Linked DNA regions of Mytilus edulis. The protein of the gene in region 2 interacts with the protein of the main gene of each other region in a pairwise test. Links are inferred from orthologs where the notes say so. Each region holds a gene or a part of one and is shown on either strand. Other genes may lie near its edges.

Region 1 (16,839 bases), on a different chromosome or scaffold from region 2:
ATCAAGAGTTTGATGCATAATATAAAATGGGTGTCCTTTGTTTTGAAGGAGACATTATACACTGTATTTAATCATTTTTGTTGATCTGTTATTCATTATTTTGGTGCTTAACCTAACTTAGTTGTTCCCACATTCAAAGCAGACTTTTTATTGGCGTGCTTAGGGCAACTAACGGCAATATTCACAGAGCATTGTCTGTTTTTTTCCATCAGCAACAGCCAACCTTGCCAGAGGAATCAATGTGTCACAGTTCTGCCAACTTTTCAGGAAGTGAATGATTGTGTGTTTATTTGGCCAAATTGTAAAGATCAAAGAGAAAAAAAAAACAAGAGATCAAAGGAAAATGCCGCCAAATAAGCATGAACATGTGTGAGTCTCGCACTAAAGACTTGACAGGACAGCGGCTTTTTCTTGTCGTATTTACCATTTTTGGGGGATAAAATTTCATCCTGGTTACTCCCTTCATCTACCGTTTTTCGTTTTGAAACTGACGAAGTCCCTGGGGTTCCCGTACTAAAATATTAAGAAATATTTTGTTGCATGGTTTCGTGCTCAAGAGCTGTGCAACAAGACAGATCATGACCAATCAATACATCATACCCCCAAATACCGTTAATTGAAAATGTTCTATACCCCAAGCCATGGTATGAGAAATCGATATTTAAATTACGAGAATTGCAATCAACACATGATACCAGGCCACCCAGACATAACAGAGTTATTTGTTCTATTTTTAAAATATGTACAACAGGACCTGTACAAACCAGTTCAAATTCTTGAAATCCCGGATGACTTAATTGAATCGAAATCGCTAACTTAGAATAGTGATGAAGGGATTTTTCACTTTCTATTTTGGAAACGCCAAGAATTTTTTGTTTCTAGTCAGTCGGGCATATCGGATTACACATTTTAATTGCCCGAGGCGTAAATGATCTAGTCCCGGGCGTCAGGCTAGTGGATTTTTTAACCCCTGTAATGAGTTCACACGTAATTCGAATTAATTCGATTCGCATTACATGCAACTAATTCGAATTAGTTTAATTCGCATTCAAAATGTTTTACGTACTAACGTAAATTCTAATTCGCGTTTAATTTGATTTACTGTCCAAACAACGTTAACTTTTAATTCGTATCAACAAAACCGGATTTCTTAGTGATTAAAACGTTAATAAAAGGATTTAAAGGATTATTTGTAATGAAACAGCAGCCCACCAAACAAAAGAAAATAAATCTAGAGGTCAACATACGGTATGAAATAATATACGAGTGTGTACAGTAAATGTACCTGTATGCATGTCAAGTTCTAAATTGCCGAGTATTTAATTTTAAAAGCCGTAAAAATTATCAACAGTCCGTAATAACTTTTCTTGAGATGTTTATTTCTCACTTAGACCACAAACAGAGAGAGGGATTTGTTATTCACATGATTTTATTTCCGGAAACAATATTACCAATTTATAGATAGTAATTTACACATCTTACAAGCAATATTTATACATCTGAAAAATGTCTCCGGTCATTTACAGAGATAACGTCGAAATTGTCTGCCAACGACGTCGTGCACTTTAGCGCTAACGTTGAGGTTGCAAAGGGGGGACGCAATTTTTAGGATAAATCGTGTTTATCATGGAATCAAGCACGGTGACCTATATTTTTTATTTGGGATTTGGAGAAAGAATGACAAAATGCAATTTATGCAGAAAAATCATAAAAATGACATTTTCAGAAACAGTTTATTTTTATTTTTTTAGGTTTAAAAAAATACCACTTTGAGCATCTGGTCCGCAATGACAAGCAAGGCTTGAATAATTGTATAGTTATTCATGTAGTGATTTATTTTTTTCCTTTTTGTCACTTATCACAGCTTCAGATTGAACCCGATCTTAATAATTTACGACGAAACATATCTGCTCCAAATTTTTTTTAACATTGCCTAATTTTTTTTACAAAATTGCACAAATCCCCAATTTTTAGCCTCAATTTTCTCGAAAACAAGCACGGTGACCTATGTTTTATTTTGTGTTTTATTTTATATCTCGCCAAGGCCTACAACATATTACAAATTTATAAAAATGACATTTAATCGAGAAACTGTATCGGATGCCCTTAATGTTCAAAATAAGAAAATAAGCACAAACAACCAGATGAATTTTCTCTTTCTTTTAAAAGATTGAAGCAAACTGAACCCCTTTCAGCTTGCTTCATTGCACATGAAACATGCATATACAAATGTATGTTAACTGTGAACACTAGTCGCAAATATCAGACCTGATGATCATGTACATGATGTACATGTAATATGTACCATGCAGGTACATGTAAGTGCTTCTAAAAATAGTTTAAGCCACATGTACCTAGACATTTTTCTCGATCCCATTTTAATCTTATTTGCTCTCATAGCTAAAGCTTTTTAAAGGCAATCAAGCAAACTAAGGTACATGTATATGTAGTTAAGAAGTCATGGAAAGGGGGGCAAGGGATTATTACTTAGCATTGTCACAACACCTGAAAATAGAGATACATGTAATTTGATGTTCATCTTATTTTTTTTATACTGTTCAATTTGTACCTCTTGTCAGAAAAAAACAGTTCAAAATCTAGCAATAATAAAAAAGATTTTTTTTATATCAAAAAGGAAAAGAAAATTGTTACATCAATCAAAATTCAATTTAAAAAAAACTCTGTTATCATGTTTATGAAATTCAGTGTTTCTCATTAAAAAGTTATATAAATTTAACACAGTTAAGCTTGGACATGGTATGATCAATGATGATATTCGCAGACTGAGAGTTGAGTAATTTTAATTAATAAATTGAAACAATGCATATATATATACATTAAACAAGTAGATCTAAGTATGTTAATGCGCATTGAATGTGTAGCTTTTCTTTTTGGGATCAATATTCCTCTGTCAGCTGTACATGTGCCATTCATGCTTCCATATAGTCATAATCATAAGAACTGGATTTCAGTCATAGCTGGGCCAGTTCTGATCAGTAGTTTGTACAAATACTTCCATGGTGAATGAAGAAAAATTTGTTGCCCAAGTCGCATGCATATATGGTAGCTTGAGCCCTGAGTTGACTAGCAGTGATAACTTAACAGTGTATAGAATGCACAAGATTAATGTACATGTGTGTGCTATACTATTCATAAATGTAAGAACTTTCTGTAGAGAAATTATACTGGCAAATGTTTACCCAAATATTGATTTACATGTACAGTTACATGTAAATCAGGGTTCACCTCAGAATGAAAATCAAGGGTGTGCAGGGTAAGGTCATCAATTCTGAGATGGGAAGTAATTTGACATGTACATGTATGAAGAAATTATATATATATTTATTTTTATTAGTAAGATAAAAATATTTGTACACATGACAATGCATGATGTATTTACTGTCTATGTATACTAGGTTGAGGTGGCTGCTTCGAATGTGTATAAAGAGTAGCTCATTACAATACTCAGCGCAGCCATATGGGATCCCTATGCACAAGAAAATATTGACAAAATAGAGCGGGTACAAAGAAGAGCAGCTCGCTATATTTTCAACGACTACAGTAAGGAATCAAGTGTCACAAGCATGATAAGCAAGCTTAACTGGATACCTCTCTACCAATGAAGAGTGAATATCAGATTATGCCTATTTTACAAAATTGTAAATGGACTAGTAGCAGTTCCAACAGATACTTATAATTACCTCATTCGACTAAATAGAACATCAAGACACTACAATACATGTACCATGGCATACACCATCTTCAGCCGAAGACATGATTACTACAAATTCTCATTCTTTCCAAGAACAGTATTAAATAGCCTGGAATAAATTACCGGAATCGACAGTGAAAGCTCCCACTATCAAAGCTTTCAAGACACTGGTTAACTAGATGATGGAATGATTTTATCCTGCACCAACTGTACAGCATGGGTAAACGGACAGAAAGTCACAGGACAAAAAGTCACAGGACATAAAGTCACAAATTTGATAGGACAAAAAGTCACAAATAATTTGGTGACAATTGTTTGAATATATAAGAGAAATATTTTGAAACATTTACTTTTTAATACATATATTCATATTAAAGTTTAGCATGTTTAGGAAATGTGTCATTCAGGGCCGTAACTACCTATGAGGCAGGGGAGGCCCCCTGAATTTTCTACACTAGAATTTTTTTTTAAGTAATAAAATGAAATATTGACAAGATGTACAAGAAGAACTTGAATTTGTATTATAAACCACACACGTTTACAGTTTTAACAGTTATCATGATACGTGATATATCTGTCATTTTCCGGAATTTTTTATCGAAAGTGAACCATTTCAGTATTTGATTTAGGCAAGGATTTGTATAGTAAGATTTGATTTAGGCAAGGATTTGTATAGTAAGATTTGATTTAGGCAAGGATTTGTATAGTAAGATTTGATTTAGGCAAGGATTTGTATAGTCTTACTATACAAATCCTTGATTTGAGTATTTTCGTGTGGTCATCCATCTGATTTTAGTATTTCCTATGTCGCATATGAAACTTTGCTTTCAACAATTTGAAATAAAACTTAACTAATCACATTTATTTGGGGGCTCAATTAAGCAGGGGAAGTTCTTTCCCTTTGTATTGTGAATCTTTTATGATATCGGAAATACGTTACCGGCTGAATCAGCTTTTTGATATTTTTTTTTAACGTGTCTAGTCGGACAGTACGTCTCCCAATCATACGAGAACATTATGGTCAATGCCTTAGTAGTTTTGAAACACTCCCATTCGTTGTAGTTCTAAACATGTCTTTTCAGCTTTCAACAATATTGAAATTCAAGGTCCTCGATAAAAAAAGATATCTTGCGTTCTATTATCTTGCTTTATATGGTTTTTTTTAACTTATCAGTTTGATTTCTAACAAAAATATTTTTAAATACTGATAATAAATGTTTGCAAAAAATTGCTTCCAGGTTCAAGCATTACTGATGAGTCTTATTTAAAGGAAGGAAATTGAAGGAAAACGGGTAATTTTAGACATTTTATTGAGAGAGAAAAAATCGGTGATCACAATGTATTTAATGTTAATAATTATAGTTCAAAGTACGGACTTCAAGACGGAGCTTTGTCTCACCCCGAACAGCAATCTCAGTTTGTTTTTGCATAAAAATTGCTTCTAGGTTCAAGCAATACTGATGAATTTTAAAGTAAGAAAATCGAAGGAAAACAGGTCATTTTTAGCCATTTGACTGAGGGGAAAAAATCGGCGTGGGGGGGGGGGGCTGTGCCTCAATCGGCGTCCCCAAAACCCTGCCTCCCCTGAATTCGAACACTAGTTACGGCCCTGTCATTATACTTGAAAAATCAAGATTTATTTAATTTTAATCAGGCAAAAGATACATTTCTTGGAACCATGAAGCCATTTAAGTGCCAAACCACTTTGACATTTTGTTTTATTAACAATTATTTGATCATCTTTGATATTTTTTTGATAAATTTTGTTAACAAAGTTGGTTTATATACACTAGTTCAAGAAAAATACAAAAATATTTTTGTAGAAATAAGCGGTTTTTATTCAAAGAAAATAATCAGAAAAAATGAATTGTGACTTTTTGTCCTGTGACTTTTTGTCTGTGACTTTTTGTCCTGTGACTTTCTGTCCTACATTCGCAGCATGCACCGTATTTTCTTTTCTGATCTTTGATCTTTTATTGTAAATAGACATTACCAACACCTACGTAACGCACAAGTATTGAGTACTCATTATTGAGTAACGCACAAGTATTGAGTACTCATTATTGAGTTTAACTACTAGGCTCCAACTACTATAAAAGAAGAAGAAGGAAGGGTGATCCAGTTTTTAATTGTTCATGGAAAAAAAATGCTGTATTTGTTTTGCAGGATGGAATTTGGTTTGAGGGTGTGTGCATGTTCCGTGGCTGCCTGAGTGATTGTATTATAATTAGTCAGTCTGTTTTTTGATTACTATAAGTTGATATGTGATTTTGTAAAACATAAGAGCAGTGCCAAGAAAAAGAATTAAACGATTTGGGGGCGAATTTACATGTATTGGGGCGAAACGACCCGATAAACAGTGCACTAAACATTTTTGTCTAGTGAACAAAAATTATTTGTTTCATAAAGCAACTATTCCTACTTTGAATACGAACAAAGAAAAGCATTAACTAAACTTGGAGACAAGTTGAATTTAAATTGGCATATACTGGTAGGCCTGGCATTGTTTTTTTTTACTCGAATAAATTTTACTTCGGGCACCTGCCAGGTACCATTTTCAATTTTATATTATTTGATGGGTTTAAAGCAATTCGGGATTTTTAAACTGCCACATACAGAGTTAAAAAAATATCTAAAGAAATACCTTCTTCAATTACACATTTACGTTATCATGTTCATGTAATTAAAACTTTTTATGATTCCATCGATGTTTGTTGTTGTTCTTCCAAAATGGTCGACTGTAAGGTCACGTGAACCGCAGCCGTAATCCCATTGGGTGATTCAAATTGCCGCAAAATATTTAAATTCAAATTACACTATAAACATGATAAAGTAATTTTAATTTGAGACCATTTTAATTCTTATTTGTAAATATATGCAGTTGTTTCCTAACATTTTCTTACAACCCAGCACATATGAATTATTATTTATCTTTTAAAATTTTATGATGACAATCCTATGAATTAATTATGATATCTATCATTTAGTGATCATTATAACCAAATTCAGTCATCTGTATATAATTAATTGTTTCCTTGTGTTTTAAGGTTTAAGTCATGGCAAAATATTCAATTAGTTGATTGTGGCCATTATCCGGTAGAAGTAGAAGAAGGTGTACATAGTTGCTAAAACTATACCCTTTGGGTAGTGCTCCACAATTTAAAATGGAGAAATATACACGAAACTGAACTGATTATTGACAAGAAACGTGATTATATTTTTCTTTACAAAAAAATATCACAATTTTGAAACTAGACGTTTATTTACAAAAATTAGAATTAGTGACCATAATTTGCTCATTGAGAAGGGCAGATATCTAAAAATACCTCGAGACAATAGAACATGTCCAACTTGTAAAACCTTAGAAGATGAAAATCACTTTCTCCTCCACTGTCAAATTAATAATGTTTTACGTATAAAACTTTTTAATGACATGGCAATATAGATAATCCTATGTTTCCAAATCTATCTGATACTGAAAAACTAGTAGTCCTACTAAATCCTTCTAATATAAACCAAGTGAAAAAACAGGTTCCTTTATAAAACAGTCTTAATTTAGAGCTGAGGACAGGGGACTCTTAGTTACTTTTACTTGTATATATATAGATATGTGTGTGTTTAACTCAGTTATTTTATTGTTGCTGTTACTTTTGTTTATGTCACAAGTTATAATGTTACTTATATGACAAATAAAGATTATTATTATATCTCGTTCTTTGAAAAAAACTTAAACTGTTCCACAAAGAAAAAGAAAAGAAAAAACCACCAGTCAGCAAGAACTTTGGTTTTGTTAGATCCAATCAGAAGTCTCATCGAGTATATTTGTACTGATTTTGAAAAATTCCCTGCTTTTAATTTGAGTCAAGTTTATTTAAGAATTGAATGCTTCTTTTTGTAACTTCATAATGGCTGTAAAAGCGTTGACTGAAGCACATTTCGTATATATATGCGCTTCATTCTAAACTGTGCGCACGGTCAACGCTTTTAATACAACCCTAGTATGAAGTTACAAAAAAGAAACATCCAATACTTACTAATTACATTTTTTAGCTGAGTTCAAGAAAACAGGAATTTTATCATTTTTTTTTAATTTAATTCACCTGTGCACATTTTTGTGGGACCTCGTGTTATCATGAATCTGTAATCTGTAATATACAGTGGCGGATCCAGGGGGGGTGGGGGTTCCGAGGGTTGGAACCCCCCTTTTTTTTGGTCCGAGCATATAGTTGGAACCCCCCCCCCCCCTTTACTCTGGGTTGGGAACCCCCCTTTTTAAAATGGCTGGATCCGCCACTGATATACATTCTGCCAATGTAGCGGCACACCTCTTCCGAGTAGTGGAGTTCACAACATGAATAAAAATATCTTCCACCAATATCACTATACACTATTTACATTGTACATCATATTCTTGACGATAAAATTGGGCTTAATGTCAATATAGGCAGCATCAACTCATTAAATACTTTAAAATCTAAAATATTTATCTAAAGATATCACTGTTTAAGAGTAGACAACCAATCGTCACTTAGGATTCATATAACATGTATAATGTTATTATCTACTTAATTTCTCTTCTTTTTCTTTATATCATCTAATTGCAACAGTCTATACCTTTCACTTTAAAAACTTTTTCATTTCTTAACATTGCCATGTAAGTAAAGGGATCTATAATCAGTTGTAAAATTTCAAATTGTTCATCTTTCATATTAAACACCAAAATTGGTTTTCTGATATCTTCTAGACTTTTCACGTTAATAAAAAATGTGGTAAAGTTTCTTCTGTTTCATTACACAGTTTGCATATAGACAGTTCTGTATTATTTATAAACTTGGCCCTAACTGTTTGCAGAATGTAACTCCCAGTAGCTATTTTCAATTTTGTAGGAATTCTAATAATTTCCCTTGAATTCATAGTATTTGTATTTGCAATAGGATGACAACGACCTGGTTTATATATCAATGATAAATATTTTAAACTGTTATAAAGTTTTGCTTGATTCAGTATCTTCTCGATCAAGATTTTTTGAACTTTGGAAGTTATTTCCCTTTTCCATTGCTATTTAGAAATTGGATTGACTAAATATTGTGCAGGATCATCAAGTTCATATTTCAAAAATATTTTCCTCAGTAAACTAAACCAACTATTACTATTAATAGATTTTACATTTAATTGCCTTTCCGCTAGTTGCCATTCAATAGAACTTTTTCCTTGTCTAGTAATATTTCGATAAAAAGTTAATTTTTTTACATCTATTTGAGCTTCTACAGGTAACATCCCAGAAATTATATATGTAGCAGGATCGGCTACTGTTTTTGGTAAAGATATTACCAATGTCATTTCAACTGATCGGGCGGAGCTTACGTTTGCATAAGGGCAGTCTATTTGAAGATGTGTGTGATGCCGTTATAATTATTACTGATTTCTAATCACCTATCAGTGCCATCAAAGGAATTTACAAAAGAATAACTGAACACTTCTTTGATGAGTTTATCCTAAAACACCTATCTATAGATGGAAAGGTTTATTATGAGCGAAACGGTTAAACTCCGCCCAGTCAAGTGAATTTTTTTTTATAACAATTGTTTCAAGAACTTTAGTAAATTGGATATTTAAAGTTTCTAAACATCTTCCTCTAGGAAGTACTATTTCCAATCCATATAACATTATTGGTATAATATAAGTATTCATAATTGACATTGAGGTTTGTGGATCTAGTCCATTTTCACCATAAAGTCCAACCCCCATTAAGGTTTATGTACCCTTCTGTAGCCATTTTTGTACGAATTTTTCAAACCTCAATTGTATCAAAACTAAAGATATAATAAATAATAGAGATAGGCCATTTAGTACATGTTCCAAGGGGAAACTTGATGCAAAGCATTATTTTTTACTGTTTCATTGCATTTGATAGAAAAAGAGGACTTTGTGGCAAATAAATCAAGATTTTTATAGAAAATCCACAGCCTTTAATACAGAGATTTTTGTTATAAAATTTGAAACATAAATTACTCACTTGATTTTCTATGATGTGCTAGTGTTTATTTTTTACAAAAAGTTCTAAGTAACCTGTAAATTCCAAAACACCTCGTGCTGAGTCACTAAAGTCGAGCGCACCCTAAAAGGTGTACTTGATTTTTGCCATATTTATACTTGTCTTAACCAATAACTACATTTATAAACTTGTTTTAAGGAAATCAATGCTAGCACTGCATGCAATAATCCTATATCTATCAGTCATCAAATTGCCAAATATGAGAGTACAAGGATAAAGACTGTGGATTTTCTATAAAAATCTTGATTTATTTGCCACAAAGTCCTCTTTTTCTATTAAATGCAATGGAACAGTAAAAAATAATGCTTTGCAACAAGTTTCCCCTTGGAATATGTACAAAATGGCCTATCTCTATTATTCATTATATCTGTAGTTTTGATACAATTGAAGTTTGAAAAGTTCGTACAAAAATGGCTACAGAAAGGTACATAAACCTTAAACTATAATAGTGTCCTTCTTGCTTTCTTTAAATTCTCATCTATTGTTGCTTTACATGAATCTTCGTCTGTACGACATATTCCTATATGTGTTGCTTTATTAGAAGTTGGAAGAGTCGAATTGCCTAAATTCCAAAAAAAATCATTTACTTTCTCATGGTGACGTGATTTAGACTGTATAACACAACTTTTTGCTGGTATAAGTATGCCTCACGTTTACTAAAATCAAAGGCCATATCAATTAAAATTTGCGTTTCATACGGACAATTACTAAGTATGGCTAAATCATCTGCGCAAGTAGGAGCACAACAAGAAATCGATCCATGCGCAAGTACTGTAGGAGCACAACAAGAAATCAACCATGAATGATAAGTTTGATTGTGTAATGCAATTGCTTAAGGAATACACGTGATGTGCAGTAAGCCAATCAGAATAACGTATTTTATTGAAACTTACATCTAATTTAATTATATCTGTAACACTCCCAAACGTGTCCGATTCCCCCAAACGTGTCTATTTCCCCCAAACGTGTCCGTAATGTTCAATATCCCCAAACTTGTCCCATTTCAGAACCCCCAAACGTGTCCGATAATTGTTATTCGCCAAAACGTGTCCACTATTACACGCCAGAACGTCTCACGTCTGTTAGCGTTAAAGCTAGGTTCACACTGCCGATCAAGATCAACTCGATTATCCCGACTGTCCAAATTTCCACGAGCAAGCTCAACCAAATTCTTGATCGGGCCTGTTTGCGACTTCTACCCGACTACCATCTGACTGTACACGACCTTAACTCGACCATTCACGATTCCTTAATGACCTTTAACACGACTTCATCCCGACAACAAAATGAATACTTATTCGATAATTCCGATCAATTAACGATCTTTACACGATCTTTACTCGACTATCTAGACCAAATCAACTATTCACGATCTCAACCTGATCTTGACCAGACCAGATCGTATATATGGGTCGTAGGGATAATTTCGAATTGGTCGGGTATGCACATTTTTTCGGAAATTTTTATTCCCCGACGCTTCGGAGTTGGCATTTAGTGTTACCTTTGTCCGCACGTACGTCCCAACATTATTAGTTTCCGTTCTCTAATTTTATTTTGCTTCAACCAAATTTTATGAAACGCCGTATACACAATGCTTATTACCATAAAACACAATTCAAATGCGAATTTGGTTGGCCGTTCTTGCGTAATGACCCTGTATAATGTTATATATGCTAGCTGGACACACTCTCCGTTTATTTGGGTATATTCAGTAGAAGGTCCAGGTAAAATCATACATTTAAAATATCTACATAGGAATAAAGCAGTTGGATTTGTGGACAAGGTGTTAAAAAAGCTCCGAGGGACAGGTTAATAGCCATGCGCGTAGCTACGTTTACGTCAAAACGCCCGGGTGTACACTTGAATTTTGAAAATAAAACAAAATAATCGACATAGAATAAGAAAAACTGGTCAAAAGCACATCAGCCTTGTGCTTCTTTTTTTAATGAATTGTAGTTTTGAATGAAAAGGGACTAAATTTACTCAAATAGATCATTTAATATATTTGTTCGAATCTTTTGTAAAAGTCTGAATCCACTATGAATTCTACGTACTTTTCTTATATTAAAAGCAATTCACTATCTGCTCAGATTCGATATGCTGTTTGTATTTTTGTCGAGCCTGTGATTTATGTCCAAAAAGCGAGACAAAGCGGCGTAAATATTTAGGTTCCGAATGTGGATAAAGTCTTTTGAATGACTCTCTGTGAAATTTTACGAAAGTTGTACAGAAACTGTTTACGATCAAAAGAGTATTCAGAGTAATATACTAATGCAATTATATCTTTTATTTGCCCGCATTTTAAAGACAAAATGTATTTCTTTCTGCAATTAATAAGTGGTCGCAGTTTGGGTTTGGGCTTACATTTTGTTATTTCTCAATTACATTAACTACTTGTCGAACCTTCATCAAAATTTATGAAATATGCCGAAGAAACTTTTTCTTTGACTAGTGTCTAAAGCTAAAATTTTGAAAGCATTTGTTTTCATTCGATCATTTTCCGGTTCTTTTCTGATAGACAGATAGCCGGGGTCTTCTTTACGCAATTAATTGTTTTACATGTTCAATTTATAAACCTTCATAGATTGTCGTGAAATATTCCAGATCAAGAAAAAATTATCAAAAGAAAATTTTAGATTTTTTTTTAAATCCATTTAAAGGAAAGATAAATTGTTTCACTTTTTGTGGAAAGAAGTCCTAGGTGTTCCAGATTTTTTTTATACTGCACCTCTTAGAAATATTTATTTTTTCATGTTCATCAAGAGGTGCTTTTGTTGATTGTATGCTCACTCACGACACCCTTTAAACTTATTTAAAAGTAATATTGGTTTAGACGTTTTCTCTAAAACCAATGACCATTAGGCTAGCTTCAAGTTTAAAACGATGAATAAGTTAACATATTACAAGATTTAACCAAAAAAATAAACGATTGAGATTCAAAAGTATATATATGTTGTTATCAATGATTTTTTACTGACTTGAATCATTATGGTATCTCATTCTCGATAGCTTTCAGGGGCTTCGTCCCTTTCGAACCCACTACCAACAGGTGCTTTGACATTGAGCGGTTGACACCCCTCATATCCCTCGCCAAGGTTCGGACGTACACGTAAAAATGACCCAGCTACGCCACTGAAAGCTGTGACGGAGTTTGAAGAGTGCATAGAAAATGATGTAGACAGAAACGGGCGCCGAGAAATCTAGGTGAGGCAGTGGCTGACACGATGACCACTGTGTGTGCAGTATGAGAGACTTGCACTAACTCAACAAAGAGGAACCCAATGCTTATAAAAACTTGATTATAGTGGACACTGATATGTTATGGTAGTTGTATAGCTCTTTTTTGGGAAATGACACCACAAAATGAGATTTGTCTCTGGATTAGTACTTATGATAGACGGCAATATACATAAACTTTACCACTCCTTGTCCTTTCTATCTTACAAATAAAGCGTACCGTTTGTGTCATATATTGTGCATAAGTATGTAATCAGTATTTTTCATAGATTTGATATCCAGTAGTTGAAGGGTTAAAAATATTCATTTTCTATTTGCTGTATGGCAACAACCTGCATGTATTTGCTAAAAAATATTGCAAAAGAGGGCAAAGATGTCACATATTTCCGCAAAATTTCACCCAAAGTACAATTTCAATCCCCTGGAGTGATGCCTTTTCTGAAACTGTTTACAACTTGACAAATATCTATCAAGATTGCATTTTTTTTCACCAAAGTTTGCTAAACGGTGTGTGCTGTTTGTTATAGTTTGTTAAACGTTACAGAAGCAGAAACAAATGCATCGTTTAATCAGAGTTTGCTGACCCTGTTTGAACTGTCAAAAACGCATGCACATAGCAACACGTAACCCAACAAAACCTGGTACGATATCAGGTGTTCCGGTAGGGAAGAAAATCCTGCAATTTTGGCACCGGCGGAGTTTTCAATAATAATGAAATCAATGTTATTGCACAATTACTTCATATTTGAAAAATCCGCCGGTGCCAAAATTGCAGGATTTTCTTCCCTTCCGGAACATTTGAGATCTTCCCAGGTTTTGCTGGGTCACGTGTTGCTAGTTTTTAGTCAGTTTCTATGTTATGTTGACTGCTGTTTGTCTTCTGGTCGGTTTTCGTTTTTCGCTATTGCTGTGTCGGTTTGCGGTTATCGGCCTTTTAGTTTGATTGGTCCTTTGGTGTCTTTTGCCTCTCTTTTAAAATGTTAAATTACCTCTCCTTGCAAAAGTTAAGACACGAACTGTACATGGAGGAATTTTTGTACAATAAAAAAAATGTTGCCAATATATTTTTGCGGAAGCAGAGTTATGAGAGTCAATCAGATCTGCACACACTTTCAAAGAATCGTGTAGCAGTCATGTGTTCTCGTGTATGGCCGAGTAGAGATCGAAGAGTGATCGAATGTGGTCGCGAAGGGATCGGGTATTGGTCGAATTGGTCTGGGATAAAATAAATATAAAAATCGCAGTGATCTGGAAGCGATCGGGCATTGGTCGAGTTAATCTGGAAATAATCGGACATTAGTCGAGCAACATTCGAAATGATCGAGTACTGATCGGTAAAATTGTTGTATTCCGACCAAACTCGATCCCTTCACGATCCTTTCCCGATCAATTCGACCGTTACTCGACGAATTCTCGATCTCTTCTCGAGTGAATTGCTTCTCGATCCTTACTCGAATGTTTTTGACATGTCAAAAACTCTCGGGTAGAAAGTCAGATCGATAAAGAGCAAGGTAGACTATCCCGAGCATGCTTGTCGATTGAGTCAGACCAGTCTCCCGATCACGCGTAATTTGTCTTGATCGGGCTTGATCGAGTTGATCTGATCGGCAATGTAAACCTAGCTTAATACACTCATTTCCCGAATGAAATAACGTGGACGGCCATTCTATGATGGAGACACAGTTGATGAAGTGGACTTTATTAGCACAGAGACATATATACACATGTATATATGTCTCTGATTAGCATTAGCATTATTAGCATTAGTTTGTTCAATGCCGGTTATACATGATTATCATTATTGTAAATTCAATCTGTAACATATGAATTAACTTTTGTTATAGTAAAATAATCATCTCGTTGGTCTGATAGATTGTCACAATTAAAAAAGAAAATGTTTTTCATCTTCGACCTCATTACTACATGCAAAGTGGGAATAGGAGGAAGACACCGGTGATCATTGGTGACAAATTCTGCTGATTGAAAGATATTATGGGCTGTATGGCCATGGGTCATCTAAAAAAAAATGTCGAATTTTGAATTTGCAAATTTATTAAAAGTTACTTATCAAAACAACTTTTTACATTAGAGCAAATACTTATAGAACAATATATTAAAAGATGCAATCTTAATAATGTCATACAAGAATATCTTGAAACATTTTTTGATAGGTCGTGCTATATTTCGTCTCTCCTGTTACCATATTCAAAACAAAATTCGGGTTATTAAGAAAATGTTAAGACAAAATTTTAAGTTTGTTTTTCGTAGTCGATTAGATGGTTTTCAAGAGTATAAACTTCTATATATAGTCATTCTGTGAAATAATAGATTTTTTGCATATTTTCCACTTTGTACTGAAAAATGCCTCTAAAAATTAGTCTTCAGAGGTTATAAAAATAACCACCAGTAATGTAAAAGTCATAATGTTCAGCATTTTTCAGTCTCTCTTTCAAATAAACCCAACATCAAGTAAATCCATCACATGTTAATTAACTTTTGTCTTTATAAATTCTATTGGTAACAGGAGCGTACGTATATAAAGTTCCATCCTGTTACCTTTTTGTCTATCCTGTTACCGATAACAGCATTACACATGCAAATGCAAAATTGCGAACATTGAGCAACCATAGTAAAATAGACTTTCATCATTTTTTAATGATGTTGTAAAATAACTACTCCCTTTGATGAAGTGATATTGTTTTTCTGTTGTGATTTTGGTTTCCAACACGTTATTGCACTTTTTTAATTACAAGTAAAATATTGATATCATTAATCAATATGCTGGTAACAGCATAGACATGACAAAAAGTACCCTCTATTTTTTCACTAAATGTCATGAAATTTCTTTTCCCTACACTGTCATACAAGAAACGTTCTGTGTTAAATGTTGTTACTTTGCGCTTTGAAAATCAACTCTGGCTTATTCAATATTTATAGGGAGAACAATTTAACAGCTGATTTAAGAAGCGGTAACAGGATTGACACGGACTTCATGTACGCTGATTGAATTTAGTTTGTAGATAAAATGTTACACATAATCATAAAGAAGCTACGATTTATCTTTAGAGTTATTTTTAACGTTCTTAAAAGGTCCCTTTTGCAGATATCAAGGCGATCAGGAAATCGAGAAAAGGGCATGGGAAATGTGTTACTCTGACACTGTACGCACACAACAGTGGCGTAGCTAGGTCATTTTTACGTGTACGCCCGAACCTCGGTAAGGAGAATGAAGGCCAAAGCGGATCCAGGCCAAAGAACCTGCTGGAAGTTGATAAGCAGGGACAAGCCTCCGGAAGTTTTAGAGATATCGAGAATGTCATAAAATTCCCGTCATTGAATACTCATCATCAACAACATTTTTTAGATTCAAAATAAATCTATTTAGAATCTAATGACGGTCATTGGCTTAATTTGGAGTAAACATCCAAACCAGTTACCTTAAAGTATGATTAAAGGGAGACGTGAATAACCTTCAATAATTACCGAAGCAGTATGCGTGGTCTTTCATTGAGGTGAAAACAAGATGGATCAATCGCAGAAAAGTGTTCTCGACTTCTTTCGTAAAATGTTTTCATCTGAAATTGAACCTATATATAGCAGAGAGATGGCTTCTGCATCTGATGTAGCAACGTTACTAGATCTTACAAGTATTTGAAAGCTTGCCTCTCTATGCAATATGTAACTATTAAACGGTGGCCAGATTGTCTGACTTAAATTGCGCAAAAACGAAAGGATGAACGGAAAAAATGGGCTGCTGAAATTAAACATGAAAAAAAGCACTTCAAGGAAGTTTAATTGAATTCGACGAAGGTTTAACAAAAAATTGATATGTAAT
Region 2 (16,404 bases):
ATATAATTACTATGTCTATTTGCTGTAATGTTTCAAGTTCAAGATCAAATCCATGATGAATTTAAATCAGGTTAATAGGCAGCCTTTTTATTCATCTTGTATCATTTATATATATGTCAATTGTTTGCCAAAATTTGACAGAAACTTGTCATATAGGACTTAACATGCTTAATGAAGATCATTTTAAAGACATCAGTTCTTTTTCTTCTTGCTTATTACTATGGACAAAATTTGTAGTAATGAAGCTAAAGAATTTCATTATGACAAGATGAAGAAATCAGACCAGGCTGAAATTGGTGAATCTGATCCAGAAAAAAAAGTGCTTTAACATCAAGTCTTCAGGGCTTGTTTTACAGACAAATTTCAGTATCAATTCAACCAAATATTAATTAGTAATTTAATATTTTTTCATACATATATACAAAAATATATTTTTTATCAAAATGAACTTCACGTTCCCTTTCAACAATCGATATATAGAATTCCCAACAGCTATGAATTACTTAACAAAAGTTGTCAAACTAATTGCTTTTAAAATGATGTGTGTGTATATCATAGCGCTATTGATTTCTATACAAAGCATTCAGTTTTAGGGTAGGGAAATAAAAGATTAGTTGATAAAGCCAGCTAATGATTTTCCTATTGTGGCAATCCTTAATCTGAGAAATTTGTACTAATTTCATTACTTTCTGCATACATGTACATTAATTTTGTATAATTTGTCCTGATGAAGCCGATCTAATCGGCGAAACATGTCAACAATAAAAGATGCAGTTTACTTAAGTGTTGTTGTCAATGTAGCGGTTTCTGCATACATGTACATTATTAGTCATTTTAATAAAGTATGCTGTCTCATAAAAGACAATTTTCCTTTTCATCATGTTCATCGTTAACATATATAATACACCTTTAGTTAGCATGATCATCTAGTGAACAGTATAGCTATACATGTTTATAATTATTTACATACATTGTACATGTAGTTTGTAATCAAATCTATTATAATTTACAAAAGGTTCAGGACTTCATGCCTGTTCTCGTAAAAAATCAAAGTGTCTTCAATTTCTACATGGTGTACAGATGATGAACAAATATTTGTAGAACCAAAGTAAAGATCTCTACATGTCTCTTTACAATTTAGGTCAATCAGGTAAGATGGAGGTGTCATATAATAATGTAGTGACAGCAGGTGCCCTACAGTCAATAGTTAATGACACATCAGAATGTAAGATGATAATGGAAAAATCATAAAAATGAAATACACAATCTTTAACTCAATCTGTCACAGAATTCTTTATACACATGATACATATATACAACATATTAGTAGAACATGTGAGCTTCCTTAATTCAATTAACAATTAAAAATGTTCACTATCATGACTAAAAGAAAAAAAAAATTCTACATAAAACTTCAAATAGGCCATGTAGGCTAACCCTTTGATATATAAGAAAAATGCAGGTTGAAAAATATTTGAAGAATGTGGCTTCTTGTGTCCTTTTGAATTTCTTGTATCCAATTTCTCAACATGTATCTGAATATGCACATCATGCATCCACATACTAAATAAAAAAAAATATAGTTGGGGTCTGAACCTACAACGCTGTCAGAACGTAATTGATTTGGGTCATCTGTATATACTCATTCCCTTTCATATATAAAAGCCATGAAAACTTTGACAACAATTGTTAGTTGAGCCGCCTGTTGTAAAAGTAGCATAATATATCACATATCATATACATGCATGTATAATTTTTGGCATAAGTTTGGTCTCCATTTTCCTTATAGATTTAACCTTTACAAACCATCTCTTTATTTGTAGTAAAATATGTTGATTACACTAACATTGTGCTATTATAAACAATTAGCAGTCTGAAGTGTCCTGAAATGAATATCAACATGGACAGTATTGAGTTCCAACTATAGGTTAAGTATACATATGACAATGTATGATAGTCTGTACTTTACAACAGTATTATATGCTATAGACTTACAGCTCTATCTGGGTGACCAAAATCAATTTTCAGTTGTCCCATCGCTCTAATAATGGCCATCATTGACTGGATAGTGTTACTGTAGACCACTGGTTTATACTGCAAACATTCTTCTTGGGAATAACCTTTTTCATGTATAATTCTGTAATTGATAATAAGTGTATGTGTAAGTACCATGTGTGAAACTACAGTTGTGGACTTCAAACTTAAGTCTATTAGATCCAAAATTGACCATGTTGACCAAACAAAAACTGTTGCAAAAGGTACACCTCAAAATTCATATATACATACATGTATGCATATACATCAATAATGAATAAACTATTTTATTATATGACTGCATAAATAGAAAATGTGTCCCATTGTCCATGAGACACAGATAAAGGACCCCATTGCATATAAAGTTATTAAGGGACTTATTTCTAGAACAGTAAAAGTGACACTACCCAAATAACCTGAGTTTTATGGTAATATGCATTGTATATAAGTTTCATAACATTTGGTTGTGGCAAATTAAAGTTAGAGAACTGAAACAAATTTTGTGACGAACGTTAAAAAGGACAAGGGTGAAACTTAATGCTATGGGAGGGCATAAAAATTTATCTTTAATCATTTGTTAAGGCTTGGGGAATCTTTTTTGATTAAACATTACCGGTATAATCACCCTAAGAAAAATCGTGAGAGGATCTTAAATTTGGAATGTGAACCTTTTTTTTTTCTAGGCAAAGACAATGATGTAGATTTATGACATCATGCAAATAATCTTTTTTTTTCTCCTTTTTCTGGTTTTTCTGTGACAGTAAATATCATTTTCATAAATGAATTTGATCTAACATTTCAACTTATTAAAGTTAGCAACTGCCAAACAGATAATAATATTAAGGATAACATTATTTAGTTAAATATCTTGGAACAGATACTACAATTTCAGTACAATGTACTATTAGTAATCACTAGAAAATTGGAGATGCATATAATACTTAATAATTGTTGACATTTGATATCAGTTGATAATAACCTCATCAAAAGTCAATAATTGTATAATATTATATATTATATTATACATTATATAAAAAAGATATGTATTTATATGCAAACATCATAAACATGTATGTATACAGTAGTACAGTATTTCGACTCTAGATTAGACATTTTTTTAAATGGTCAAATCGTTATTTTGATTTTAAGAATTAATTGTAAATTTCTCATCCTACTAGACCCATTGCATTGTTACTAGAAAAGATGTGTCAGAACTACATTTTGTACATATATAATCCACATTAAATCTGTTACAAGAAAATTTAAAGTGTACAAGACTGTGAGACTATCTTACATGTATTATGGTCAATTTTCCAGGAAATTAAATTAAAAAGAAAAGTAATTAATCATCAATTAACAAGTCTTAGCTATGAAGTTTCACATGTAAGCGGGATATCAGTGCCTGAAAAAATTTTTGGGGGGCAAGTAAAAACAAGGGAAGTAGTCATAATTTACTGTCCGGGACCGAGTTTCCTGTGGGCCGAGTTGTTACAAATGTCTAGTTAATCAAGAGTTGTCTTCCATTGTTTTTTTTACGGGGGAGCAGCTCTGGAAAACCTCCAATTCTTTACATGATTAAATATTATTTTATAAATTACGATGATTTGAATTTTAGCAGAAGTGTAGGGCAGTCGCCCAGACGTTTTATTTTGGGCCAGTAATTACCAGATTACTTGTCTTTTAACAACTTCTGATCGCCCTGACATAAAAGTGGTTGCCTCAGGCGCTGGATATGGTATTGGTTTTTGCTCATAGTCATAACTTTTAAAAATTTGTAACCTGTAGTATGCTTAATTAATAAATAAGCAGTAGACCATTGGTTTCCCTGTTTGAATATTTTACACTTGTAATTTTTTAGCCCTTTATAGCTAGCTGTTTTCGGTGTGAGCTAAGGCTTTTTGTTGAAGGCCATACTTTGCTGTTGTATGTTCTATGGTCGGGTTGTTGTCTCTTTGACACATTTCCATTCTCAATTTTATTTGACCTATAATGGTTTACAATGCACTTTTCACAACTTGTGACTTGGATGGAGAGTTGTTTCATTGGCACTCATACCACATTTTCTCATATCTACATGTATATGCTTCATTTAAAATCTGTTGGATATTTGACTCATTGGCAATCATACATTATGTAGTTTGTACCACATCTCCTCACTTTATTTTTGTAAATAAAATTACACATACATGTACAAATACAATGTATTACAAACATGACAAAGCTGAACATTAAAAGTTGATAGGTATAAAGTATTTTAATCATATATATTGTGTGTCGACTAATGACTTCAAGGTCACTTATAATAACAGGAAATTCAACTTACATGTATTATCAAAATCTATTAATGGGCATTTGTACAAGCTCTATCCCATCATGGATATAATCATTTAGGAATACATGTATAAATTAAATCTACATTTTACTATTTACAAATTTAAGTTATTGGTCATAAACATGTGGTTTTTTTGAAACCATACTTAATGAGAAAATTCTCAGAATGACACGCTCTTCGCACGGTAAGAACCTATTGGCAGACGACAACTGCAGTTTTATAATTACTAGACCATTTATATGTTTTGCATAGACCCAGACCAACTTCTAGTTTACCATGGAGATTGGTCATTCTAGTATTTCCTTGCAACCCTGTAATGATTTAACTGCGATAAAAAATCCCAAAACCAGTTACATGTACCTGAACAATTTATAAAGTAATCAAACCTGTTTTCATCATATATGCCTTCTTCTGTTTACATTACTAATAAACTTACTTCATTTGTTTAACTATTGTACTCTTTCCAGATTCACCAGCACCTGTAACATAAATAAATATATACATGTCAGGTGTAATAGGAATATTTGCTGACCTGTTTCTCAGACATCAGATGTGGTGGACTAAAACTACAAATTTATGACCCTTTATTTATGCATTACTGGTGTTGTTGTTTTAGTTCAGTTCAGTATTGTTTCCAAAAGTTTTTGGCATACATGATTATACATCTACATTTTTTAATTAGCTGCGGAACCGTAGCTCTTAGGTCTTTGGATATTTTTTACTATTTGTGGACAATAATTAATATCATAAGGATGTGTACAAAATGTAGGACCTAAGAGCTACGGTTCTGCAGCTAACATGTAATATACTTTAGCCCCAATCCCGGATCCAAAGTTTTTTGGTGTCAAGATTTAAAATCAATGTGGGCACTTTACAAATGTAAGTACTAAAATAAAACTTTTTCACCCCTTTGCTCAACATGTGTTGGAAATTTCTATGCATGTATGTTTGTCACGTGGTGATGGAAGTCACATGACAGATTCGTATGAAAACTGTATCCCGGAACTGGCCTATATGTTCGAAATATATATATACATGTACATAGATTGCAGATAAGTCTAATAAAATAATTCTTATTCTTTATAAAAATATTGGTCAACATTTGTCAACTACATGTGTATAATGATGTTGTCAATTGTATATAATAAAGTGCTAATGAGAGAGCCAATTTCACCAATTTACACTGACAATGTTAACACGTCTAATCTGTATACATGTACATTGTACATCAGAAAAATTATGAAAAATACAGAGATCAAGGTTCCTTTGTCATGTTTGGTAATAATAAGCTGGTTTGTGAAGAGTTTACCTTTTTCTGTCAGGGATGAAGTTAAAGTAAGAGCCAGAAAAAATGCCAGCTGTGACATTGATATTTTGTCTGAAATGTCTGAAGTTTTAAAATTTCGAGCCATCTTATTTTAATGCCAGCAAGAATTTCGGATTAAGAAGTTACATGTATGTTTCAGACATTGATCTTAGAGTCTGTGACACTTGAACTGTACACCTAAATTTTATTGCTATTTGGAAATCTGTCCCGCTTGAACTATTTGACACCATATATACAACAATCACTTTTCCAATGGATTGCAATGTCATGTGTGGCATCAGATATTTTGTATTGTGACGTCAATATTTCTGGGAACCTGTGTGATGTCCAGTAATTGCAGACAAATAGCAATTAGGTGTACCTTTTGCTTTGATGCCTTATGTTGATAGTTCAAAGCAAAAAAGTGTAATAGCCTTTATGGAGGGTGGTAAAGTGTTATTTCCGTGCAACATGTTTTGCCATTTTTATTAAACGTGCAGCTGTGAAAAACATTCGTTATTCACTGTGTTTCAGGGCTTCCAAAACGGTCATATATTCCGGTCATTTGTATAATGTCTGGTAAAAGTCCGGCTGGGCAAAGCATGAAACGGTCATATACTTTTTAGTTTTCAAGGCTTTTTCAGTCATTTTTACATAATTCACTATCTTTTTGACCCAACCTTTTGCCTTTAACATCAACACATTTCCGATTATATATCATGTAAATGTGACATGATGATTAATTACTATCAAAACAACACCTACTTCAATACTTTCTAATTTTAATCAAGGCTAATTAGTAGTTGGACAGCTGAAATCTACCTGTTCAGGTGACAGGTGAACTATGTTCAGTACCAGACATCGTATAAATTGATCGGTTTATTCACAATTACTTTCTTACATTTCAGCAGTTTGTATCTAATTGATTTAGTCCAAAAGATTAAAATTATTAGAAATTAGTTTATCAACATGATTTGATGAAAAATTTAAAAAGGTTTTAAATGAAAAATCGTCAGAAGTATTTTGTTGAAGAAATAACGTGGAAAGAGCTTCTTCTCTTAGTTGTGCTTTGTAAACGTACACGAATTTTACGTATTCGTTTATGGTCCATGTTTTACCATTGTCAAGTCAACATCCGATTAAAACAATGTGAAAACGAAAGTAAAGTTTTTGACAACGTCATTTTGCACAAATAAAAAGTCTAAGGCAGATATGAGCACGCTATTGTGCATGTTTTGAACGATGCACTGCCAATTTAACAGTTACATCAGTCAGAGATATAACTCTATAGGGTTATTCCAGGAAATAACTTGCGTTTGTTATCACAGATACTTGCACCTTAAATTTTCTAAATCTCTAATAACATATGCTTGTTATTTGTAAAATTATTTCATTTATAGTGGGCTCTAGCTATATATATAGGGAACTCTTGAGACTTTGGCAGAAACTAAATGCATAGTTTTGATAACAAATTTTTTAATTAAATTAATACATTTTTGATGGACCATGGTAAATCAATGAGTCGAGGCTATTAAGGGATAAACTTAGCTGTGATAACAAGGCTTAGTTATTAAAGGAATGTAACTTATTATATAAGACACTTGGGAATTACTGAGAAACTTACACCTTGTAATTAAGCATGATGTATGTCTGAGCAAATGCTTTGAAGTGATATAGAGAAGCTGTGATAACACCCTTTAGTTATTACAGGCATATTTTTTCTGTAATAACATATAGGTGTACTATGCAAAATTGGCAAACTATCAACTGTTATATCTTTAAATAGTTAAGTATACATATAGAAAAAAAGTAATATCAATAGAACTTTTATACATTTTAACTAAACTAATGATGTATATTGTCCCTTTCAGGGATCTCCATGGATGAAAATTGAACGATGGAGGAACTTTCACCATTACAAACTGTGTCTACGCTGTACAGTGTAGCGAGATCGAAAGTATTTTATCCCTCCATACAAGGAACGGTGAACATGCTAAATCATTGCTTATTTAAATTATATTTATTTGAATTTTCATTATAGAATTAGAAGTATCTATATTTTCATTTTTTAACATTTTTGAAGGCTTTGAAACATGTTATCACAGTTCTTTGATTTTTTAGTTCACACTAACAAATGTATGTTATTTTCCTGTAATAACCATATAGAGTTATATCCCTGACTGTACATCAGAACATCAAATTCATATCATATCAAAGTAAAGTTTAAAATCGTTTTTTTTAATGTAATGTAATGTCAATCATTGGAATGGCCATCTGATTACCATAATTGCCTTTTGTGAGTAAGTCTTAAGGGATTAAAATCGGGATCAGATATGAAATGTCCGGCTGGGTCAAATATTTTTTGGAAGCCCTGCCGTGTTTCATGAAATCGGTAAAAAGATCAACGTGCAAGCAATTTTTAATCATTTGTTCATTGTGAAATTTTATTTCCCGTTCTTCCGTGCAGATACCCCCTTCTATATAGGCTTCATAATTATTTGGACATATTTGGCACATTACATTTTAAGAAAAAAGGGGACGTCACATAATTTTTGATGATATAAATACCCTTCTTTCGAAACATTCACAAACATGTTAATGACAGCATAATCCACACTGACCATAGAAATGGTGTATAATTTAAAATATTGTCAACAGTGAGACTATGAACATGATTGCATTTGGTTTACTTACTGTACCAATAGCCAGGGGGAGTTTGAGGGGTTCGGACGAACCCCCCCCCCCCCCCCAAATCAAATAAGCACTGTTCAAGTCAAAGTTTTGTTCAAATTGTGACTGTTAAAGTCGAGTTCGATTTATTCGTGATAATGTATATATTTTAATTTAATGTAGCATCATGTGTTTTACTCTTTTGAGTGTGTACGACGTTAGACTAAGTTGATATGACAAGGCACATGAATTATTCGTCAAAATAGTCATTCGCAACAATCAACCGTTTTCTGTGTTTCATAAATACTTACCTAATAATAACAATTTTACTTCTCTCGCTGCTTTTTCGCCATCTGCACGAAGTGTTTTGTCAATTTGTTTTGATCTTTCCGATGCGGCTTTGTCGTCGGAAGAAGTAGCACACCCCATAGTTTATTTGTAATGTTAATCCAAAAATTACACCATAAATTATATAATAAATCCAATGAACCAAAAATATGTGTGAAAAATGATAAGAAACACCCAAATTTTAAGAAAACTTCCTGTAAATCGTTGACATTTTCATCGGTTGTCTGATGCTTTTTGAATAAACTCCCCGGATGTGGACGGGCACCTTGTCGAGACTTGAACGAGATTAGCTTTTTAACATAATTATATGGACTTTCTCAAAACATGTTTTTTTATGTCTGTTATTTTTATTAGACATGTCTTTTATTTTTCGATCAATAAGTTATATCAGAGACATATTCTGGTTATAAATGGAGACTAGAAAATATTTTTTATTCATTAAATCCGTATCTTTCAAATTTACCTGCAAATTTTAGTATTTCCTCTTTCTGGGACTATTAAACTAACTATAGTCCCAGCTCTTTTTGATATGGCGTCTATCTATGATGGGCATTGATCATTGGAGGGTCATAACTAATTTTCTCGTGTACTAGCAAAAAACTTGTTGAAAATGCTATAATTAAAATTGAAAAAGCGATATTAAATATTGCAAATGCTCTTTTCGATGATGAAAAATTCTCTTTTCAATATTCCAAAAATCATTTAAGCGTAGGTTTTTTCGCGTTTTGTGTAATAAAGCATTTGCGATAAATCATAAGTATTTGCGATGATTAATATAATATTCGCAGTGATAGATACAGCACTCATAATTTGCTTAATCATGCCTACTGAAGTAATAAAAAAACCTTAAAACTTATAATTTTTTGTCACAGGATTTGCTGTCATAATATATACTTTTGAAACCCAAGGTATCAATAGAAATGCAATATATATATATATATCGCTTAATTTAATTTGATCTATGACATTGAACATTTCGTCAATTTTTTTTACTTTATAGTTTCTGCACCTGAGATCACCCCTAGTTTTTGGTGGGGTTCGTGTTGTTTATTCTTTAGTTTTCTATGTTGTGTCGTGTGTACTATTGTTTTTCTGTTTGCCTTTTTTATTTTTAGCCATGGCGTTGTCAGTTTGTTTTAGATTTATGAGTTTGACTGTCCCTTTGGTATCTTTCGTCCCTCTTTTTCTGCCCACGGCTAGCTTCTTCTTAATTCTCCACAAACTGTAGAAAAGCTTACATTTTTATCATGGATCCACTTATAGATCATGCAAAAATGTTTACTTATATATGTGAATAATTATTGATTTAAATCTTTATATTATATTTTGTTATCTTTTGTAGATTTTTATGCCCCACCTACGATTTTAGAGGGGCATTATGTTTTCTGGTCAGTGCGTCCGTTCGTCCGTCCGTTCATCGTACCGTTCGTCCGTTCGTTTGTCCGTCCGTCCCGCTCCAGGTTAAAGTTTTTGTTCGAGGTAGTTTTGTAATGAAGTTGAAGTCCAATCAACTTGAAACTTGGTACACATCATGTTCCATCTGTTATTATCTTTGTAATTTTAATGCCAAAATACATTTTTACCCCAATTTTACGGTCCACTGTACACAGAAAATGATAGTGCAAGTGGGGCATTCGTGTATTATGGGGCATCCGAGTACTATGGACACATTCTTGTTGTTATTGCTTTTACTATGATTGGAACTTTTGTATTTTATAGCCTGCCTACGTGCATATTTTAATTCTTTCCGAAATGGGGAAACCCCTATTTTATTTTAGTTTATATTTGGCATTTCTATGATAAAAAATAATATAACGCGCAACACAGATTACGCAAAAGACTATATATCCTACAAATCTAAACTTACGACATCGCATCAAAATTAAAAAGAACTGCCAAGTTGATATTATCCTTCATAGTTTTTGCAATCTTAGCTTTATTTGGAAAAATTGAACCATAATGGCTACTAAAAGCGAATTATCATGTCACTATATATATTTCACTTTCATTACTGATTAAACGAAAACTTGAAAAATAATACTTTAGGGTTTTCATATATCTCGTAGCTAATGGTCCCTTAAAATGCATATTTAAGAATTGAATGCTTCTTTTTGTAAATTTATTGGGGTGTAAAAGCGTTGACCGAAGTACATTTTGTATGAAGCGCGGAAGCGCTTCATTCTAAAAATGTACGCACGGTCAACGCTTTTACAACCCTATAAAGTTACAAAAAGAAGCATTCAATACTTATAATTACATTTTTTTAGCTATGATCAAGAAAAAACGAATTTTATATTGTTTTTATTTAATTCACCTGTGCACTTTATTGTGGGACCACGTGTTATCATGAATGAAAAGTTTTATTGAGTGATACAATTGCTTACGGAATAACACGTGATGTGCTGTTAGCTAATCAGAATAAAGTATTATAATGAAACATACATCTAATGTAATTATTAGTCAATACTGGGCAATAATTAAAATGATAAATGAAAAATAAATAAATAAAATAGCCTCCACTAGACCAGGGTGAGACGAGAGCAAGGTACGTTCAAAGTGGAAAGGGATCAAGTTAATATAAATTGCAACACTTGTTTCCCAATCCACTATAAATAAATATGTTTAAATTAAATTAAGGTTCGTTCATATATTTTTCATTGTTTTCTCTTCAAAAATGTCTTACAACTACTAGTAAAATAAGACATGATAAATTACTTCAAAAAAGTTTATCTCGTGAGATAGCACGAGACTACCATAACACATAATCTCACATTTTGTTTTACAGCTGAGACTATATGTCTTTCCTTTTTTAATGTGTTATAGTAGTTTCGGGTCGTCCGTGTAAATTAAGTTCGGAAACTACTTTTCGAGACATATATAATTATATAAATACCCATCAAACTAGGTGAACATTTCAACACGGTAAAGAAACCACATAATATTGGAGGAAAATTGTCTTAAACTTGTCTTAAAATCGTCTTGTGTCCAATTTCATTCCATAGATCTTTATTATTTTAACGGTCTAAGTTAATATTTGTTACTTAGAAAACCTCTTTGAATTATGTATGTTGTAAAAACGAAGTCTGTGACAATATTATAATTTAATTCATTTTAAATGGAAATTTATTTATCAACAACATAGAGCTTTCAAATAGAAATGAGATTAGAGATTTGAGGATATTCCAATAAATGCATCTGTCCCAGCGTTGATATTATATTTCCTTGGCGGGTTTCATCTAATGAAGGGCGTATGTTAGTTATACGTCCCGGCTTGATCTAATGAATTAGATAGCATATATGACATATATCATTATTTCATATCCGTTGAGAATAAGATTCTCTTATTGGATTAAAAGAGGTCACATGACATTCATTATTCTTCAGTAATAAATTCCATCGGTCATTAACAGAAAAAAACGGACCAGAAAACCGGTCGTTAACGAACTTTTACATGATAATGACCGGTGGGGCGTGGTTTCCGTCTGATAATGACCGTTGGGGCGTGGTTTTCGTCTGATAATGACCACTGGGGCGTGATTTCTCTGTTAATGACCGGTGGGGCGTGGTTTCTCTGTTTAGAGAGATGTACCTTTTATAAAACATTTTCCTGTTTTTAATATTATATTTAGGTTGTTGAATTATTTATTATATGTTTTCGTTAATTATAAAATTCAAGATAACTTGATTAAGTATTTATATACTGAAAAATTGCACTAAAATGAATGGCAGTATTACTACGACTGGTCTTCACTGTTTGCCATAGAAATCGTGCAACTACTCGAGTTCGCTGTAGGCATTTTTAATTTATGAGAATTTTCCAAAACATGGTTTCTCAATGAAATAAACATACTAGTTCTTAAAAAAATAGTCATTATCGTGATACATGGACTGCCCGTAGGACAGTCCATGTATCACGATAATAACCAATTTTTCAAGAACTATTATATAAATAAATATTCTTCATAGGTCCACTTTTTATCGTCTAACTTTGCTTATTATTTTAAAATTCATATACATTTATCTATTACAAGATATTTCTCTCTCTCATCATTACCACTTTGTCATATTTTTAATTTAAGTATCAAAAAATGTATTTTTCCATCTTCATTTAAACTGGCAAAGTCATACCAGTTTATAAGAACAAAGGCTCAAAACAAGATGTTTTTTAATTACAGACCAATTGTAATTTTACCACTCATTTCTAAAATCCTTGAAAAACATGTGAAAACACACTTAGTAAAATATCTTAATAAACACAACTTATTGTATAGAATGCAGTCAGGCTTTCGTGCAAATCATTCTTGTCAAACTGCGTTAACAGCTTTAATAGATAAGTGGCTTAAAGCCATTGATGATGGCGATCTTGTTGGGGCAGTTTTTCTAGATCTAGCAAAAGCCTTTGATCTTCTCAATCATGAACTGCTTATTCAAAAATTAAACAAAATTAATACAAATTTGCTTATACTTCATTACGCTGGTTTACATAATATTTGGCTGACAGATATCAGAAAGTATCTATTTCAAATCAGTGACATTATCAGACGTACAAAAACAAAAAACGGGTGTACCTCAAGGATCCGTATGAGGACCGGTGTTGTTTTTAATTTTATTAATGATCTTCCTTTGTCTAATCCTAATCATAACACCGATGTATTTGCTGATGATAGCACCATATCAGTCATTGGTTAAAACAAAAGTTGCATCAGTCAAAAACTTAATACGGTTTTACAAGATATTTTTCGCTGGTGTGAGGACAATAAAATGGCTGTAAATGTATCTAAAACAAAAGCTATATGCATTGGATCTAAACAAAAGCTTTCCGTTACATCAAATGAAAACATTAATCTTGCTTTAAATGGACAACAAATTATAGAAAGTACATGTGAAAAGGTTCTAGGTATTTTTATTTATGCATCTCTTTCTTGGTCTTCTCATATCGATTCTATAATAAAAAACAGTTAACTCTTCTTTAGCTTTACTAAAAAGGATAAAGAAATATTTAAATCACAAAGCTAGACAAATGTACTATAACGCTTACGTTTTACCTCACTTAGATTACTGTTGCTCAATGGGGAAACTGTAATAACTTTCTATTAGATAGTTTACTAAAACTGCAAAAAAGGGCAGCAAGAATAATTTTAAATGAACATGATTACACCAAACCTCCAAGATAATTATTTCACGAATGTAACATTGTGCCAATCACACAAAGAATACTTTATCACAAATCATTACTAATGTATAAGGCAAAACATGGCTTAGCTCCAGAATATATGTCCATGCAGTCGTATTTTATCAGCTTCTGCAAACCAAAAATATAATACGAGATTTTCATCCTCAGATAATTTTATAATTCCAAAACCAAATACAGAGTTGTATAAGTCTAGTACTGTCTCGTACACTGGACCAAAAGTGCGGAATGCTCAAAAATTCAAATACAGTATCAGAATTTAAACATAAATACAAATATATGTACTTTAAACATTACCATCATATTTGTACTGTAATGCCATATCATAATAATATTGTTTATTGTATTTTAAATTGTATATAATCTTTATTTATCATTATTATTGATGCACTGTTTATTTTTAATGTAACTATTATTGTTTTAAAAGAGCCTTATTGAAAATTGATGTAATCCAAATGAGTTACTCTCTTTAAATACAGATATTATTATTATTATTATTAAAATACTGTTTTTAATTGGTGCCGAATAAACTTTAAAATAGGAGGTCGTTTGTATAATTTTTGCTTTCTTTAACGGTTTACCACATATACCTATAACCGATTTCGTGTAGTAAACATGGCTGAATTAGTTAATTGGGTAATTTATGGTAAATCATTTTGTCGAATTGATTCGATTTAACAATTTATGTAAAAAAAGAGTTTTGAGACGACCATTCAAACGCCGAATGGACCACGAATTGGGAGTACATCTCGATCATCGGAAGTAAACGTCAGCCATATCATCAACAACTTTCTGTAAAATAGGAAAACTGAATTATAGTTTATGTCGATGATATTATGCATCACACCGGCGTAATAAGACTTCACAGGAAATGTCTGCTATCAGTTCTAATCCTGTGAAAGACACAAACAAACAAAGCTTCTGGAAGAAAGAATCAAATGTTCCAGGAAGGTATACCGCAAACATACTGTTTATAAAATAGAAGCGTTTGAAACTTTTCCTGTCAACGTGAGCTCAGTGAAAACTATTGACTTCTTTTTATTGGCATAATATATATTTAAACTTACAATACACACAAAAATAACTACATTTATAAAGATGCAGGAAAGCATAATGCATGAAATAGTAACCAGATTATTTGTTATGTGTAACTGTTATTTTTATATGGTCCAATATGGCAATAAAAATTATTGAAATCCACATTCGCTACCAGGATCCCTCTGCACCCTACATGTTTGCATTGTTTTAATGGTTGTGGTTTAGTTGGTGTTAATTTATATGACTTATAAGTTTATTATTATAAGATATAAAAGATGAGTTTTTTTTATTGTTTTTGTTGTGATATTATTATACTTATTGTATAGCTATAACTACCTTGTATGGCGCCGTATAGCTTCTACAGTTGGAGTTGTTAGTTGTCCTTTACATCAGGATCACGTCCGTACAGCTAGGCCGATTTGTAACAACTCATTAGTCCATAGCTTGCCATTCGGAACACTCTGGACTCTTCATGTAGCTTATTCTTGTACCGATGTGCTCCACATTTTAAAAGAAACTAAAGTGTCATTATACAGTTTTGGCTGGACCAAATTCTTTTAGTGCTCTTTGCAGGGCTTCAGATTTTTTTTTGAAAATGCACTTACCCATCGGAAAGTTATCTTATAATTTACTTTCCAATATCAATTTTCACTTTCTCCGTTATTCTCCTCCTAGTCTGAAAAAAGCTTATACAGTCATGTTAACAACAATTAAAAAACGTAAACAACTTTATTTACATTCCTGTTTTAGTCTTATAATTTCTTTCGCAAATTGGCAGAGATGAAATGTGTATGCAAACTTGTGGCTTCATGACCTCCATTACTGTATGACTGTTTACTGATAATAATTACCAACTGATGTATACGCAAGGAAATATATATGTGATAACTTAGGGAACCAGTTTCTTAACTAGATTTTGTCCCAAACTTTCTTTGTCAGCAGGCGCGGATCCAGCCATTTTAAAAAGGGGGGGTTCCCAACCCAGAGGAAAGGGGGGGGGGGGGGGGGGGGGGTTGTTCCAACTATATGCTCCCATTCAAATGCATTGATTGGCCAAAAAAAAGGGGGGGTTCCAACCCCCGGAACCCCTCCTCTGGATCCGCCACTGGCCAGCATGATCAAACAAGAATATTACACACACTAGAAAGTACCACTTACTTACCTGACAGGAAACTGGTACCTGGGTTTTTTCCTACCCAATGATTTATTTACTTTCCCCAGGAAACGGGAATTCAAAAGCCTGACTTTGAAATCTTTTTTCATAATGAATATGTCGTTCATATAAGATTATCTTTCATGTTTTTCATTTAAAATCTTCATTGTTTTTTACTCACCATGCTCATACCAAGCTTTTAAACTTCCGAAATCGAAACGATTTTGTTAGAATTTTGTTTCCTGGTCACACTGCAGTGACAATCATCAGTATTACCAAAGACATACATGTATATATACACATATGTGTCTCTGGTATTAGTGCTGTGGAAG

The links.
Region 1: the proteins of guanine nucleotide-binding protein G(i) subunit alpha (region 2) and regulator of G-protein signaling 12-like interact in a two-hybrid assay, tested with the Drosophila melanogaster proteins (2 studies listed by BioGRID). The link is inferred for Mytilus edulis from reciprocal best matches to the Drosophila melanogaster genes Galphai and loco.

Annotation. Positions count from the first base shown.
Region 1 is NC_092347.1:15,951,908-15,968,746, reverse strand, and holds the start of regulator of G-protein signaling 12-like, read right to left. Parts: upstream 6,484-16,839; 5' UTR 6,357-6,483; intron 1-6,356. UniProt on the Drosophila melanogaster protein: Acts as a regulator of G protein signaling (RGS).
Region 2 is NC_092344.1:74,217,398-74,233,801, forward strand, and holds the start of guanine nucleotide-binding protein G(i) subunit alpha, read right to left. Parts: upstream 8,995-16,404; 5' UTR 8,772-8,994; coding exon 8,654-8,771; intron 4,846-8,653; coding exon 4,803-4,845; intron 2,138-4,802; coding exon 1,996-2,137; intron 1-1,995. Other genes in the region: TBC1 domain family member 22A-like, read left to right, coding at 14,753-14,832. UniProt on the Drosophila melanogaster protein: Guanine nucleotide-binding proteins (G proteins) are involved as modulators or transducers in various transmembrane signaling systems.